3 linked regions of the Macaca fascicularis genome follow. The protein of the gene in region 1 interacts with the protein of each later gene in a pairwise test. Links are inferred from orthologs where the notes say so. Each region holds a gene or a part of one and is shown in the gene's direction. Other genes may lie near its edges. The genes, in order: LDLRAD1, VTI1B and PLN.

What was found.
Region 2: the proteins of LDLRAD1 (region 1) and VTI1B interact in binary tests that used the Homo sapiens proteins (3 or more experiments, as listed by UniProt). The two-hybrid records come from large-scale screens. The link is inferred for Macaca fascicularis from reciprocal best matches to the Homo sapiens genes LDLRAD1 and VTI1B.
Region 3: the proteins of LDLRAD1 (region 1) and PLN interact in binary tests that used the Homo sapiens proteins (3 or more experiments, as listed by UniProt). The link is inferred for Macaca fascicularis from reciprocal best matches to the Homo sapiens genes LDLRAD1 and PLN.

The regions. Positions count from the first base shown.
Region 1 is NC_088375.1:180,658,838-180,663,493, forward strand, and holds the start of LDLRAD1 (low-density lipoprotein receptor class A domain-containing protein 1), read left to right. Parts: upstream 1-2,136; 5' UTR 2,137-2,169; intron 2,170-2,851; 5' UTR 2,852-4,656.
Region 2 is NC_088381.1:135,555,324-135,559,721, reverse strand, and holds the end of VTI1B (vesicle transport through interaction with t-SNAREs homolog 1B), read left to right. Parts: intron 1-802; coding exon 803-864; intron 865-2,657; exon of another isoform or gene 2,658-2,884; coding exon 2,885-2,981; coding exon of another isoform or gene 2,982-3,034; 3' UTR 3,035-3,214; downstream 3,215-4,398. Other genes in the region: ARG2 (arginase-2, mitochondrial), read right to left, coding at 3,443-3,648. UniProt on the Homo sapiens protein: V-SNARE that mediates vesicle transport pathways through interactions with t-SNAREs on the target membrane. These interactions are proposed to mediate aspects of the specificity of vesicle trafficking and to promote fusion of the lipid bilayers.
Region 3 is NC_088378.1:22,484,084-22,488,739, forward strand, and holds the start of PLN (phospholamban), read left to right. Parts: upstream 1-2,133; 5' UTR 2,134-2,230; intron 2,231-4,656. UniProt on the Homo sapiens protein: Reversibly inhibits the activity of ATP2A2/SERCA2 in cardiac sarcoplasmic reticulum by decreasing the apparent affinity of the ATPase for Ca(2+).

The DNA.
Region 1 (4,656 bases):
GAGCCCTGGAGAGCACAGTGCTTTCAGCACAATTGTATGTGGCTGTATCCGGACTCAGCAGACAAAAGGGCATTTCAAAGCCCCGAGGAGTCTTTTTTTAGAGGAACACTTAAGAATCACAGAGTCAAGGAAGGCCAGAGGCTGAAGGGCATTAATAGGTTCAGGAATGGCAAATGGTCATCATGTCTGATACCCCTCTCCACTCTTACACCCATGGCAGGCATCACTGGTCAATCACAGTCCTGAACCCATGTTCCAGAGAGCCTTTTCCCATCAGTTGCAGTTGGCATGCCATATAAAATCTAGTTAGTGTCTTTAGCAGGGACCATGGGTGCCCTGCCCATGCTATCAACCCTTTCCATTTCAGGACATATTAGCCTAGCATGCAGTTGCCAAGTTGCCAACACTGGCATCTCCTTTCCTAAGGCAGCCCAGAGGTGCAAGGAATGAACACCCTCTGGCTAGTCTCTTTTTTTGTTTTTGAGACGAAGTTTCGCTCTTGTTGCCCAGGCTGGAGTGCAATGGCGAAATCTTGGCTCACTGCAACCTCCACCTCCCAGGTTCAAGCGATTCTCCTCCCTCAGCCTCCCGAGTAGCTGGGATGACAGGTGTCCACCACCATGCCCAGCTAATTTTTAATATTTTTAGTAGAGACAGGGTTTTACCATGTTGACCAGGCTGGTCTTGAACTCCTGACCTCAGGTGATCCACCCGCCTCTGCCTCCCAAAGTGCTGGGATGAGCCATCATGCCTGGCCTCCTCTGGCCGTTCTCAACCAGGACTGGCAGAAGCTGGCAGATTAATACCCCAGTTCCCCCGACCTTGAGTGGGATAACTCTGAGGTGCATCTTCTCCCCTGGCTTCCCCGAGTGCCCCAGCAGGGCTAAATTCCACTTGCCCACAGCGGGAACCTGCTTCATAACACGCCTGTTATTGGATCCTTCTCTTCCCTGTCTCATTTCCCTCATCCCACAACCAGCATTTCCTGGGATCACTCCCAGTTAAATCTACTTGCCCTCACATCTTGTCTTACAGTCTGATTCTGGGTAACCTTAAACTAAAACACCCCCTTCATCTAGTTTACATCCTTATTTTCTAGATGAAGGAACTGAGGCACAGGGAAGGGGAGTGAGCAGCCCGTCAGAGCCAGTGGTAGGGCCCTAATGAGAGTCCCGTTCTCCTGGCCGAGGGCTCAGCTCTTCAGAGTGTTACTTCCTGCCTCCCAAGGGCTGCCCCTGTGTCTGCGCCTCCCACTTGGCCCCACGTGGATTCATCATTTTATTTTCCAATGCAAAAGAAAAGGCTGATTGCAGGTTGGAAAATCTATGGGCATCAGAGGCAGGTGCAAGAACTCCTGAGCTCATTTCTGGAGGTAGACACCTCTCCTCCCTTGGACCGGGTCCTTGGACCTGTTCCTCAAGATTCCAGGGCCTTGGTTTGCTCAGCAGTGGGACAGGCTACTAGGGAAACCCACTCCCTGGGGGCATAGAAGGGGTTGTTCAGGCAAGCAACCAACCTCCCACCTCTTCCCTACCTCGGGCACCACCTCAGGGACAGTAAAAATTCACATTGCCACGTTTCTAAGTGAAATAATTTAAAATTACTTTTGCTTTATAATTTTAGTGGAAAATGCATATTCTTTCAATCTAGGTTACCTATGTAGTTGAACAGAAGAACATCAATGAGAAAATGACCCCTACTTTCTAGCCACAGAAACATTAATTCTGGGAGTTTCTGCCTGCATCTTCATACCCCTGGAACCTGAGCTCCTCCGGTTCCATCACTGATGTGGAGGACAATGCACTTCCTGAAAAGTTTCTGGGTTTCACTCCTCCCATGTGCTGTGAGACTTGGGGCTGTTTCTCCCTCTCTGAACTTCTGACTCTTCATCTGTGGAACAGGGATGAAGATTCCAGCCTCTCAATGTTGCTGTCAGATGGCAGATGAGGGAATAGCCTGGCTGGAGCGGGGCGCTCCTTTCCTTGCCTCTGCTTGGAAGGCAGGTGGCAGGGGACTGCCCATAGGGAGGCTGTGGCCTGGACAAGGCCTCCCACCTGTCCCTCCTCCGGATTGGCCCTGGGGACAAGGCAGGGAACCCGTGCTGAGCTCTCTGCACATAGCCCTGGCCAGGGAGCTGGAAGCTGAAGACATGAACAAGGTCTTCCCCAGGTGAGAGCTGTCCCCAGGTGAGAGCTGTCCCCAGGTGAGAGCTGTCCCCAGGTAAGAGCTGTCCCCAGGTGAGAGCTGTCCCCAGGTGAGAGCTGTCCCCAGGTAAGAGCTGTCCCCAGGTGAGAGCTGTCCCCAGGAAAGAGTTGCCCTGACCAGGCTCCTGGTCTTGGGAGAGCAAAGCTTGGGATGAAGAGTGGGCAGTACAGAGTGGGCATACATGGGAGACACGGAGGAAAATCAGCCCCCGGCCTGCCCCGGGGCTCACTCCCAGGGTGTAGGGGACCCTACCAGTGACACAGCTATACAGTCCAGGTGGCAAGTGCTGGTATGGAAACAGAGGAGCCGGGTGGAGGGGAGGGGAGAGCGGCCAGCTTTACTGGGGAGGAGGGTATCAGGGAAAGCCTCACCCAGGAGTTGCTGCCCAAGCCGGTTTGAAGGATGAATGTTTGTCAGGGGGACAGCAGAGAAAAAGGCATTCCAGGCAGAGGGCACAGCACAGGCAAAGGTGTGGAGATAGGAAGCGGGCATGAAGCATCTGGGGTGTAAGCATGCTGGGGTGTGAGGGACCCATGGTTCCACCTAAGACTCTCTCAGTGACCCCTCTGAAAACCCTGTTGTCTGCCTCCCTGAGGCTGGAGCTCACCTCACCTAAGCCCACCCCTCACTCTGTTCTCTTGGGCAGGGAGAGAATGACTACGCTGCTGCTGGACCCAAAGCCCACCCTGGAGGGGAAGGTAAAGAACCGGAGGGCCCGGGACCAGTGCCCTGTGGGGCTCCTCTGAAGCTGGCAGTTGGCTATAGAGGCATGAGGAGGCTTCGAGGCTCCCGCTTTCCTTCAGACCTCTGCTTCCAGGTTAATGTCTGCTCCCAGCTTCCTGGCCGGCCATGCTGACAGTCACTTGCTTAATAGGGTTATTCATTCTCTCCACGCACATGCATGTATTAAGCACCTACTGTGTGCTGCCTACCTCACAGGCATCAAACTGCATACAGTGCTCTCCTCTAACACAGGGAAAAGAACCAGCACCAAATTCCTGACTCACTGGGTGACCTGGGCAATTCTCTTTACCTCTGAGGGATAAAGTGACACATTTATTTAGCCCTATTATGTACCACTGGCCCACAGTGTGACCAGGACAGTTCTCTTCACCCTTCTGAAAACAGAAGAAGGAAGAAATACACATGTACTGAGCTTTGTATATGCCTTGGCTTGGCCCACATTTGATCAATGAGGAAACACACTGAGAGAGGCAGATTAAAATACCAGCTGTGAAGAATCCCACCCCAGTTATGTGCCTGGTGCTGCACGATCCCTTTAATCCTCAGCACAGCTCTGAGACAGGGACCCTGTTATGGGGCAATAACAGATGAGGCAGCTGAAACGAAAAGAAGTTGGGTAACCAGGCCAAGGTCACACAGCCGGGAGGTTGGAGGGCAGGGTTCAAATGTGAACTGAGGTGTCTCTGGTTACAAAGCCCCAGGGCTTCTGTTGCTCCAAGCTGGTGTCTGTTTATTTCCAAGTCCTGACTCATGATGGGCGCGGTTGTGGAAAGAATCGCCTCCTTCTCCTCATCGGTCCAGGAAGGGGACTGGCACCTAAGGGCTTTCTGGCTTTGAAGTGCAACAGCTTCACCTGGGCAGGGGCCTTGGTTCCGCGGGTTCTCCCGTTGCCCCACCTTGCGCATGGTCTGTGCTGCACAAATATTTGAGGAGCTGCTTGGCTGATCAGGACACCTCTCCCTGCCCGGAGTCACGCTGCCTCCCTGGTTACCTGAGTTTACCCAGGTTGCTGATGGCCAAAGAGCCACCAGCTAGGGCTGTAGAGATGACAGGTTTTAGATTTATGCTGCCTCTCCTGCTATTGTCTCCCCTCCCAATGCACTTCCATCCTGGAGTCCCACCGCCCCAGGCCACCTGCAACCACCAGGCCTTTATTCCTGCCACGCCCTCTGCCTGGAATGCCCTCTCTTTGCACCCTCCTCTTCTGCCTGTGGAAATCCCACTCTGCTTCTGAGGACACTGCATTGGGAATGTGAATGGATTGGAAATAACCTGGACTGACCCATACTGGGGGCCTTCCCTTGTCTCCCGGGCCCCTGGGTCAGCGTATTCACAGTGTTCACAAAGCCCCAGGCCCGGCACGGTGGTTCACACCTATAATCCCAGCACTTTGGGAGGCCAAGGCAGGCGGATCACCTGAGGTCAGGAGTTCAAGACCAGCCTGGACAACATGGTGAAACCCCGTCTCTACTAAAAATACAAAAATTAGCTAGGCATGGTGGTGGGCACCTGTCATCCCAGTTACTCGGGAGGCTGAGGCAGGAGAATCGCTTGAACCCGGGAGGCAGAGGTTGCAGTGAGTCGAGATCATGCAACTGCACTTCAGCCTGGGCAATAGAGCGAGACTCCATCTCAAAAAAATGCAAAAAACAAAAGCCCCCACCACATGCCTGGCTCTAGGCTGGGTTCTGGGGTCACAGGGATGAA
Region 2 (4,398 bases), on another chromosome or scaffold:
GTGAGATCTCATCTCTACTAAAAATAAAAAAAAGTAGCAGGGTATGGTGGCATGCACCTGTGATCCCACCTTACTTGGGGACAGGTGGGGGTATTGCTTGAGCCTGGGAAGTCAAGGCTGTAGTGAGCTGCGATTGCAGCACTGCACTCCAGCCTGAGTGACGGAGCGAGACCCTGTTTCAAAGAAATAAAAGCCACGGAATGAGCTGAGAGGTCAGCTTACCAAGGCCACTGGGGAATGGGAACAGATGGCAGGTAGCCATCTGCTGGAGGTGAAATATCCTCCAGCTGTCCAGATTAGTAGCAGGCAGTTGAAAGTTACATGGAGGTTCTTTTCACAATTCAATGCAACTGTCTCTTAAGAGGGTAAAGAAAAAAGATAACCAGATCCCAAAAGTAGTAACAGGCCAGCCTACAAAAACAAATGCCAACTCAAGAGGCTGTCCTGGAATTTGGCTGATGAAATTCAAATCTTTAGTTGCTCTAGGTCACTGGCTGTCCAGTCTGCTGGCTACACTTGAAGCCTTCCCTTTTGGAGTACCCACGGTAGAAGATTAGCTCAGTCTCAGGAGTCCATCCCCAGTAGCAACCTAGGAAGACGATTCCTAAGCCTACTTGATGAGTACTAAAATATCTTGTCCTTTCCAGGTTCTACTTACACTCGAAGGCCATCATTTAAATTGGCTTGATTTCTTGGAATTTTTCAACATATATTCCTTAATGCCTAGTGTTAATCTAGGGATATTCAGTTGTACAGAGTATACTTTTTAAAGAGGGAAATAATCACTATTTTCTCTTCTCAGCTGGTAAACACAAGTGAAAACTTGAGCAAAAGTCGAAAGATTCTCCGTTCAATGTCCAGAAAGTAAGTTTTATTAAAGTCATGAAATTTCTCTTAACTCAATGGCTTTCAACCAAAAAGCTTAAAATAGTGACTTACGAAGGTCCTAATAAAGCACCTCAGCAGCTGACGATAGTCCCCATATACTCAGTACCACCCAACAGAACAGAATAAATACACTAAGGAATATGGTCTTGGATCATTAAATAGCTCAGGATAAAATCATTTGTTAAAAGTATATACTGCTTTGACTTGGAGCAGTGAAAAATTTCTCCACTGAAAAGATATTTAATCACAGCTAATGTTCTTTAGAGAAGGCAACACATGGGAATAACAGCTTCCTATTCCTTGAAATATATTTGTATAATCTCGGCCGGGCACGGTGGTTCACACCTGTAATCCCAGAACCTTGGGAGGCCGAAGCGGGCAGATCACAAGGTCAGGAGTTCAAGACCAGCCTGGCCAAGATGGTGAAACCCGTCTCTATTAAAAATACAAAAAAATTAGCTGGGCATGGGGACGGGCACCTGTAATCCCAGCTACTCAGGAGGCTGAGACAGAGAATTGCTTGAACCCAGGAGGCGGAGGTTGCAGTGAGCCAAGATGGCACCCCTGCACTCCAGCCTGGGGGACAAAGCGAGACTCCGTCTCAAAAAAAGAAAAAAAAAAAAAGAAATATATTTGTAAAATCTTGATTAGAAAGCAGTTTTCACCTGCATAGTACTTGCTTTTGGCTCTGCTTGCCCTTCATGGGAGTCAGCTCCTTTTCTGGAAGTTCTGTCTTGTAGGGAAGAAGTAGACTTTTAAAAATAAAATCCTTGGGGAGTTGTCAGGGTTGGTGGGCAGTAACTGAGCCAAGATGCTGCAGAATCTGCTGGCACTGTCAGGTTGCCCAGAGGACCATGAGCGTTGCTTCACGCAGGCATTTTGAAAATAAAGGTCTAGAAAACACAAGCTGTTTCAGGAGAAGAACAGAATTCCAGTGCATCTAAAGGGTGGTGGAGCTGATGACCTCCTGTATAGAGCCACCGTGGTTCTCAATTAGTGAAACAGCATATGCCATGCATCAGCTGACTGTGGTTTCATTTCCCAAGAAACAGGATTATCTTCAGTCATCACAGCAGTGACTTGATTCAGTTTCATTCAGCTCTCTATGGACTCCTAGTCTGATAAATAACTAAGTCCTTCTTTGAGGATCAAACTTTGAATTGTACTAATTGCCACCAATAAAGTAGTCTTTATCAAAAATAAAAACCAAAATCGTTGAGTGCTAACAGACAAATCCAGGGCAGAAATATTGCCACTGAGGTTGAAGTTGGGGGTAAGAGGGTATTGTACGTGACCTTGGACACAGGTGGCCTAGCATGAAACAAAACTACAACCCACTCATGGAACTAGCAGGAGGGGTGGGATTTTCCTACAGTGATAAATTCCTTGTGGAACAGGGAGAAACCTAGAGTGAACATGAGAACTAGAGGTTGGATTCTTTGTGTAAACAACAGATAGTAAAATTTTTAAGCTCCTATAGTACCTTTATAACATATCCATTTGGGTTGATATAGTAAAATTTTTAAGCTCCTATACTACCTTTATAACATATCCATTTGGGTTGATAGGAGAGCAAAGGGAAAAACAGGGCAGAGGGAAGAAGTTTCCAAGGGATTGAAAGGTATTACCCAGGCTTCTAGTTACTTATCCTAGGGCTGGACCCATCCTGAGCTGGATGTATATATGATTACTTTTTCTAGCTAACCCCTCTTTCTAGAAAAGCTATTTTTAAAGGAAGTAACTACCATTTGAACACATTTCAGAATCCATTTTTATGCTTTGGTTTTTATTGTCTCAGTTTAACATTTCTGTGAGGTAGACAGTATTATCCCTAAATGACAGCTAAAGAACCTTATGAGTATTTCCTGGTAAGTGGCTGTGTGATCAAACAAACAGCCTCAGAGTATCCAGCTGTGGTTCCAGGTCTAACCCCAAAATGTTTAGAAGGAAGGTTATCCAAACTTCTGACTACTCTCCACTTTGCTTCTCTTTGTAGAGTGACAACCAACAAGCTGCTGCTTTCCATTATCATCTTACTGGAGCTCGCCATCCTGGGAGGCCTGGTTTACTACAAATTCTTTCGCAGCCATTGAACTTCTATAGGGAAGGGTTTGTGGACCAGAACTTTGACCTTGTGAATGCATGATGTTAGGGATGTGGATGGAATAAGCATATTGCTGCTGTGGGCTAACAGTTCAGGGATGCACTGTGTAGCCAAACTGTGGGAGGAGGGAGGAAAGATGGAAAACCACTTAAATGTGAAGGAACAGCAACAAGACCAGTATGATATACCAAGGTAATAAATGCTGTTTATGATTTCTTTAAATTTACATAGTACTGTAGCATATTAATACCCTGTGAACTGCAAAAAGCCAAATACATTTACAGTAGTATTGGTCACCAAAATAGAGGGGAAACTTTACAATTGTGAGAATGTGTAAATGTTCTCATTAAGGCAGTATTGACCCAGACAACCATTTTGTATCTGTCTGTCCCCTCAATGCCTCATAATTCTGGAATGCCCGTTGTGAAACATGTCAGTGCACAGTATATCCTAAATTCTCACACGTGCTTGATTTTCTGATTCATCTGGTGAACTGGGAGTAGGAAGTTGGCCATAGACAATATGCCCTCCTTCTCTTGTCTGACCAAAACTTGAAGCAATCACATCCACTGCCAGGTTAGCTGTAGTCTTCGCCTCTTCCTCTGAGGTGGCCAACTGAGGATTGACTTCAACAAGATCCAGTGCTGACAGCAACCCTGGAGGAACAAAGTGTGACAAAACCTCAAATTCCCTTGCTGCTACTCTCAGTGAGGGTCATCCCACTGGGACAGGGAGAACAAGCCAAGGTAAAAACAAGAGTCCGTTTTGTAGTAGAAAATACCTATTTTCAGGAAGCCCCTTGCACCTCATCCTCTTGGCCGTGAATTTAAGTTAAAACACTGTTATGCTACAGTAGATTAAAAGAAACCTTTAAGATAACGAAATAAACCATCTTTGTTCAACTAACATAATAGGCATAATTGTCAGGCCTTCTGGAAAAGGAAAAGGCTTGGTGTTGGGTGGGGGAGGTTTTCATCCTGCTTGTTGGCAAAATGTATGCCATCTCCAGTATGACTAGGAACCTTCCAGATGCCTGCCTGGAAATGAATCAAGTATGAAGGCAGAGGAAATCTCCCACTTTGACTAGCTAAACTCCATTCCCACTTTTGAACTCTAATGTATTATCTTCATCTGTTAGAGCACCACACCATATGCCCTGAAATGTAGTTATTACTGCAAGCCTCATTCTCATCCCTGCAGGCCTGAGCTCTGGAGGCAGGTTCCACATCTAACACATCTTTTGTCTCCCAGCAGACTGACCCAGTATCTTGTACTTGATCAAGAGAAGATTCAGCCATATGTTAGTTATTTTATTTGGACTCCAGTTACCTTCTGTTAAGGTTTGAGAACTTCTGTCAAAGTTCTCAGTATTGTTCCTTTGGCCTGGAGCAAGTGGAAGGGAAGCT
Region 3 (4,656 bases), on another chromosome or scaffold:
CCATCATCGACATCTTCACTAGCTAACCCAAAGGAAAAAGGTAAACACAAAAACTCCCCACTCTTATACCAATATAAAAGTTAATTTTTTGAATCCATTTTCCAACTATGTCACACACAGTTGTTAGTATCCTTCTAAGGTGTATATATGCCTATGTATATTTTTTAAGTAAACTTGTAAACTCGTGGTAACTAGGGCATATTTTATTCAATCTATGGCAGCTTCTTGGTTTATCCAACTAAGTATTACTAATTCCATTTTCTTAGAATGAGAAGTTCTTAGAACAATGATCTATCACCTAAATTTCAAATGAATGTATAACTGGTAGACAAACATAAAGCAGACTTTCTAAAACTATTAACAGTGCTCAAGAATGCACCTATTTTCATCTCAAAAATTTCTTAGTTACTATAGGCTACTCTAATGAAAGCTATATTCAAATTATAATTTTTTCCCACAATATGCCAATAGATTAGGAATTATAAACAGACAGATCTGCATTTGAATCCTCAGTCTGTTCTTTAGCGGTTGGTTATCTCTGACAAATTACTGTAAACCTCTTTAGGTTTCTAGGTTTTATATTATCAATCATCATTGGTAACTGATGGTACTGAGAGATCCTCATTATGTAAGGATTGAAAGAAAAATGGTTGTAGCACTAAGAAAAGTAACAAACATTATTCATGCGATTTCCTTAACTTGGGTTTTACTTTTAAGTTGTAAATTTTCCCTTGGCAATGTTCACAGAGTATCTTTGCTAAAATATTATTTTTCACTTAGTTTTAAGCTGATTCTTTAAATAACAAATGATTTGCTCTAGAGATGGATTTTCTTTCTTTGGAAGAAGCCAAGATCATCTCCATTTAAGGGCACATAAGCAGCTGCTGCTACACATTTTAGTTACCCATAAGAAAGTGAAGTGGGCTAAGTTCACTCTGTCATAAGCATTTAAAAAATTAAAGATTACAAGTACCTCCTCTAAAATTAAAGAAGAGATTTAAGAATTAATATTTTCAAGTGTGGTGACTTAAGTAAATCTGACATGTAAGACAACAAATTAGATAAACAGAGGAGAATGATGCCCGGCTTTACAAAAAAATTATTTCCCCATTTCTACTGTAAGATAAACTGTTCTAGGAAGTTCAAAATATCCTCACTTACTAGTATCTCATTTGTATAGTAATTTTCAGGAAAGCACCTGCTAGATTAAATGAGGCACATCCTTTTAAAAACATTACAAAACTTAAATTTCAACACATCAAACCTATAAAGCCTCATTAACTGATATGTAACTGATTTGGAATCTGTAATTATTTCTTTTTTGCTATAAAGTTGCCCTTAATACTGCATCTGTTTATAAAAAATTTATTAAGATTGTGTAACAATTTAATGCAACTGTTTAAAAAAATCTTAAATACTTAAAAGTAGCATATTGTTATTTTGGGGGGGATTATATGTATCAGTTTAAATATAAGAATTACCATTCACAAATATATTGTTAAACTGCTAATTGAAGAAAACACAAATGAATTAAATACATTTATTAGTTCTTTAACTGTAAGATAAAAATCATTTTTTAAAACAAAAAGCAGTTACTAGCCTGATTTCCTCATACACACTCCTTCTTCCATACACACAACAAAATAAGAAAATAGGTATAAAATTTGATTGTGTAAAAATATTTCACTATTGTCTTGTTGAAAGCTAACATTATGAAGACGTGGTATTAAAGCAACAGCAGCAAGAATTCAATGAAAGTTGTTTTGCTTATACTTGTGTTTATTTTTCTCATAATTAAAATTCCTGTAGTAACTATTTTGGCTCTTCAACATCTTCACCATTAATATTCAATTATCTCTAAGCCTGAAGATGCATGAATCTTTAACAAAAGCTTTCTACCACCTCAAATTTACTTTGTTTTTTCATTTATCTGCCATATACTGTTTTAAATTAGAAACAAAAGATGAAGCACAAAGTGTTAATGACTTTTCCATACCTAAAGTAAGAAGTTCTAAAGTTTGGTTGTGCTGAGACTAAGACTATGGCTAACCAATCGAAACTTCAGAATTCCTATGTGACATCATAAGACCTCCCTAGAACACTTTTTCTCCTCCACCTACTGCAACTGTTCCCATAAACCGGGTGACAGAGTCAGAAAACTCCCCAGCTAAATACCCATAAGACTTCATACAACACAATACTCTATATTGTGATGATCACAGCAGCCAAGGTAAGAAACAGATTTCACTGACTTTGGTAATTCTTACTTTCTGTAATTCTTTAATTCCTATAATTTCTATAATCTGAACTTTTAAGATAAGTTACTTTTATTAATATCAGTTCAAACTTAAGCAATAAAATGACATGACAAAGTGCTTAAATTTATAAATGCTTATCCATTTAGTGACAGTAAAAATGAGACAACTTTGAAATGAAAAAGGTCATATTCATCTTTGATCCTGGTTATTTGTTTGTCATTTTAATTTAACTTTCACTTTTATTTTGCTTTTCAAATGTGAATTTCTGCCAATTAAAAAAATCTTCCAATTATGTTACCATATTTGGCAGCAGTGGTTTAATTTCTCCACACAAAAACAATGACTTAATTTTGTTATTTATTGCTCTGCTGAGAAACAGTGCAGAACTGAGTTATTTACATTTGAACTAATATGAATAGTCATTTGACTACAAACATGCATATTATCAGCATGCCTACTGCAATATCATCATAATTTCATACAGTGAATAATAATGAAATGGAGCTTAAGAATATATAATACAAGCTACTTTTAAAGTGCCCTTGAGGATGTTTCCCCTCTAAAGTCCAGTCACCTTTTAAGAAACATTTCTAAAAATTCCATGCTGTTAATAAATTGAGTTACTGATATTAAATTCAATATTGTATCATAAAGAAGTTTAGAAATTTTAAAACACTTTTCACAAACACACAAAAATCTGTTAGAGAATAGACACTTTAAAAAGTTATTTTGACACATGAATATTCTTAAGTATCTTATTTTCACACAAATTTGATTAAATGGATTTCTGCCTATTAATGCCTATAATTTTGTCAAGTTATTATCCTCCAGTGTTACTCCATTTCCTCTCTGAGATTTAGAAAGACAGGAGAAAATAAAATAAATGCCAGGAATGGAGATGCCACAATCAATTTTATGACTTCCGTTTGAATTCTACCCTATTCTTTAAGTTACAATCCTCAATTTAGTAAATGAAACGTTTCCTCATTCTCAGATCTCTGTCAGGGCTTACAGAAAATTACATATATTTTATTTATTTTAACTTTCATATTTTATATATATGTTAAAATTTACCTCTAAAATTCTCAATTCCCATGACAAATGTTAACTCTCTTGCTCACTACAAATACGAACTTTGTAATTCTGTAAGCGGTTTTCCTTAAGACATACAAAAACATAATTTTTGTCTACCATTGAGGTATCCTAATTGCATCTCCATATCTCTATACTCATAATTTTCCTTTGCTATTACACAAAAGTCATTCAGTGTAGGTGTCTTATATGCTTATTTGTGCATTTTTATTCAAATATCAAATTACATTCTCACACTTCAAATTGGGTGTTCATGAGTTATTTTATTGTATCAGAATTTCGCTTTATCACATATTGCTCTAAAAAGTACACAACCTCTGGATAGAGCAGAAATTCTATTAAAGTTACCCTTAGCTCACTAGTATGTCTCAGTTAACAGAAATTCCAGTTACAGAGACCGTTAAAATTTCAAACATAATGTGGTAGTACCATACATTATGTCCCAAATAGTTCATCTATACCTTAAGTTGCCAGTTAAGTATTGTCTTTGTTTATGAAGACATGTGGTTTAAAAATAAGTGCTTAAAAAAGTGTTAGATGAAATAAATGGGAAAAATATAAAATGTTTAAATTAAGAAGTGTTAAGTTTTATAAACACATGAAAGAGTCAGAGTACATGCTTTACTAAAAGGCGTGACAGCACTATCATTTCCCAAAATCAAATATCAAATCTATTTTATTTGTATTTTAGTAGGCATAAAGGAAAATAATCGCATTTGGGTATATAATCATATCTTTAATTAGCGAGATTAAGAAACAATAAGAAAATATTGCATAAACACAATGGTTTCAGAAAATTTTAATGTATTTTAATGTTTTAATGTACTAATTACACATGTAATACTAAATTATGTAATATATTAAATTTTTAATTTAAAAACAAATTTTAAAGTCTAGTTACCTCTCTAAATTAGACAATATATTACCAATCCCAGAAATGAGGGGGGCCAATTAAAACTTCTTCTTAAAGAACAATTTCCTAATGTACTGGTGTACACAAATATTTTATTTGGTCCTCTTAATTATATATTTGATACTGCATCCCTATTCTACAATTTAGGAACGATGCAAAAAGGTGAACTGCTCAAGATCACATAACTAAGAAAACAGGGAAACCTTAGCAGAAGTTTAGGTTTTGTCACTAAGCCACATGCACATCCTCTATATATTGACCAGCATGGCTTGAAGTAAATTGTGACACTGATAAACCAAATTTGAAAGCCCCCAAACACTGTAAATGATACTCTAAAAGGCAAATTCAGAGAATACAAACTTCTATTTTAATTTAAAACCATTCCATTTCACT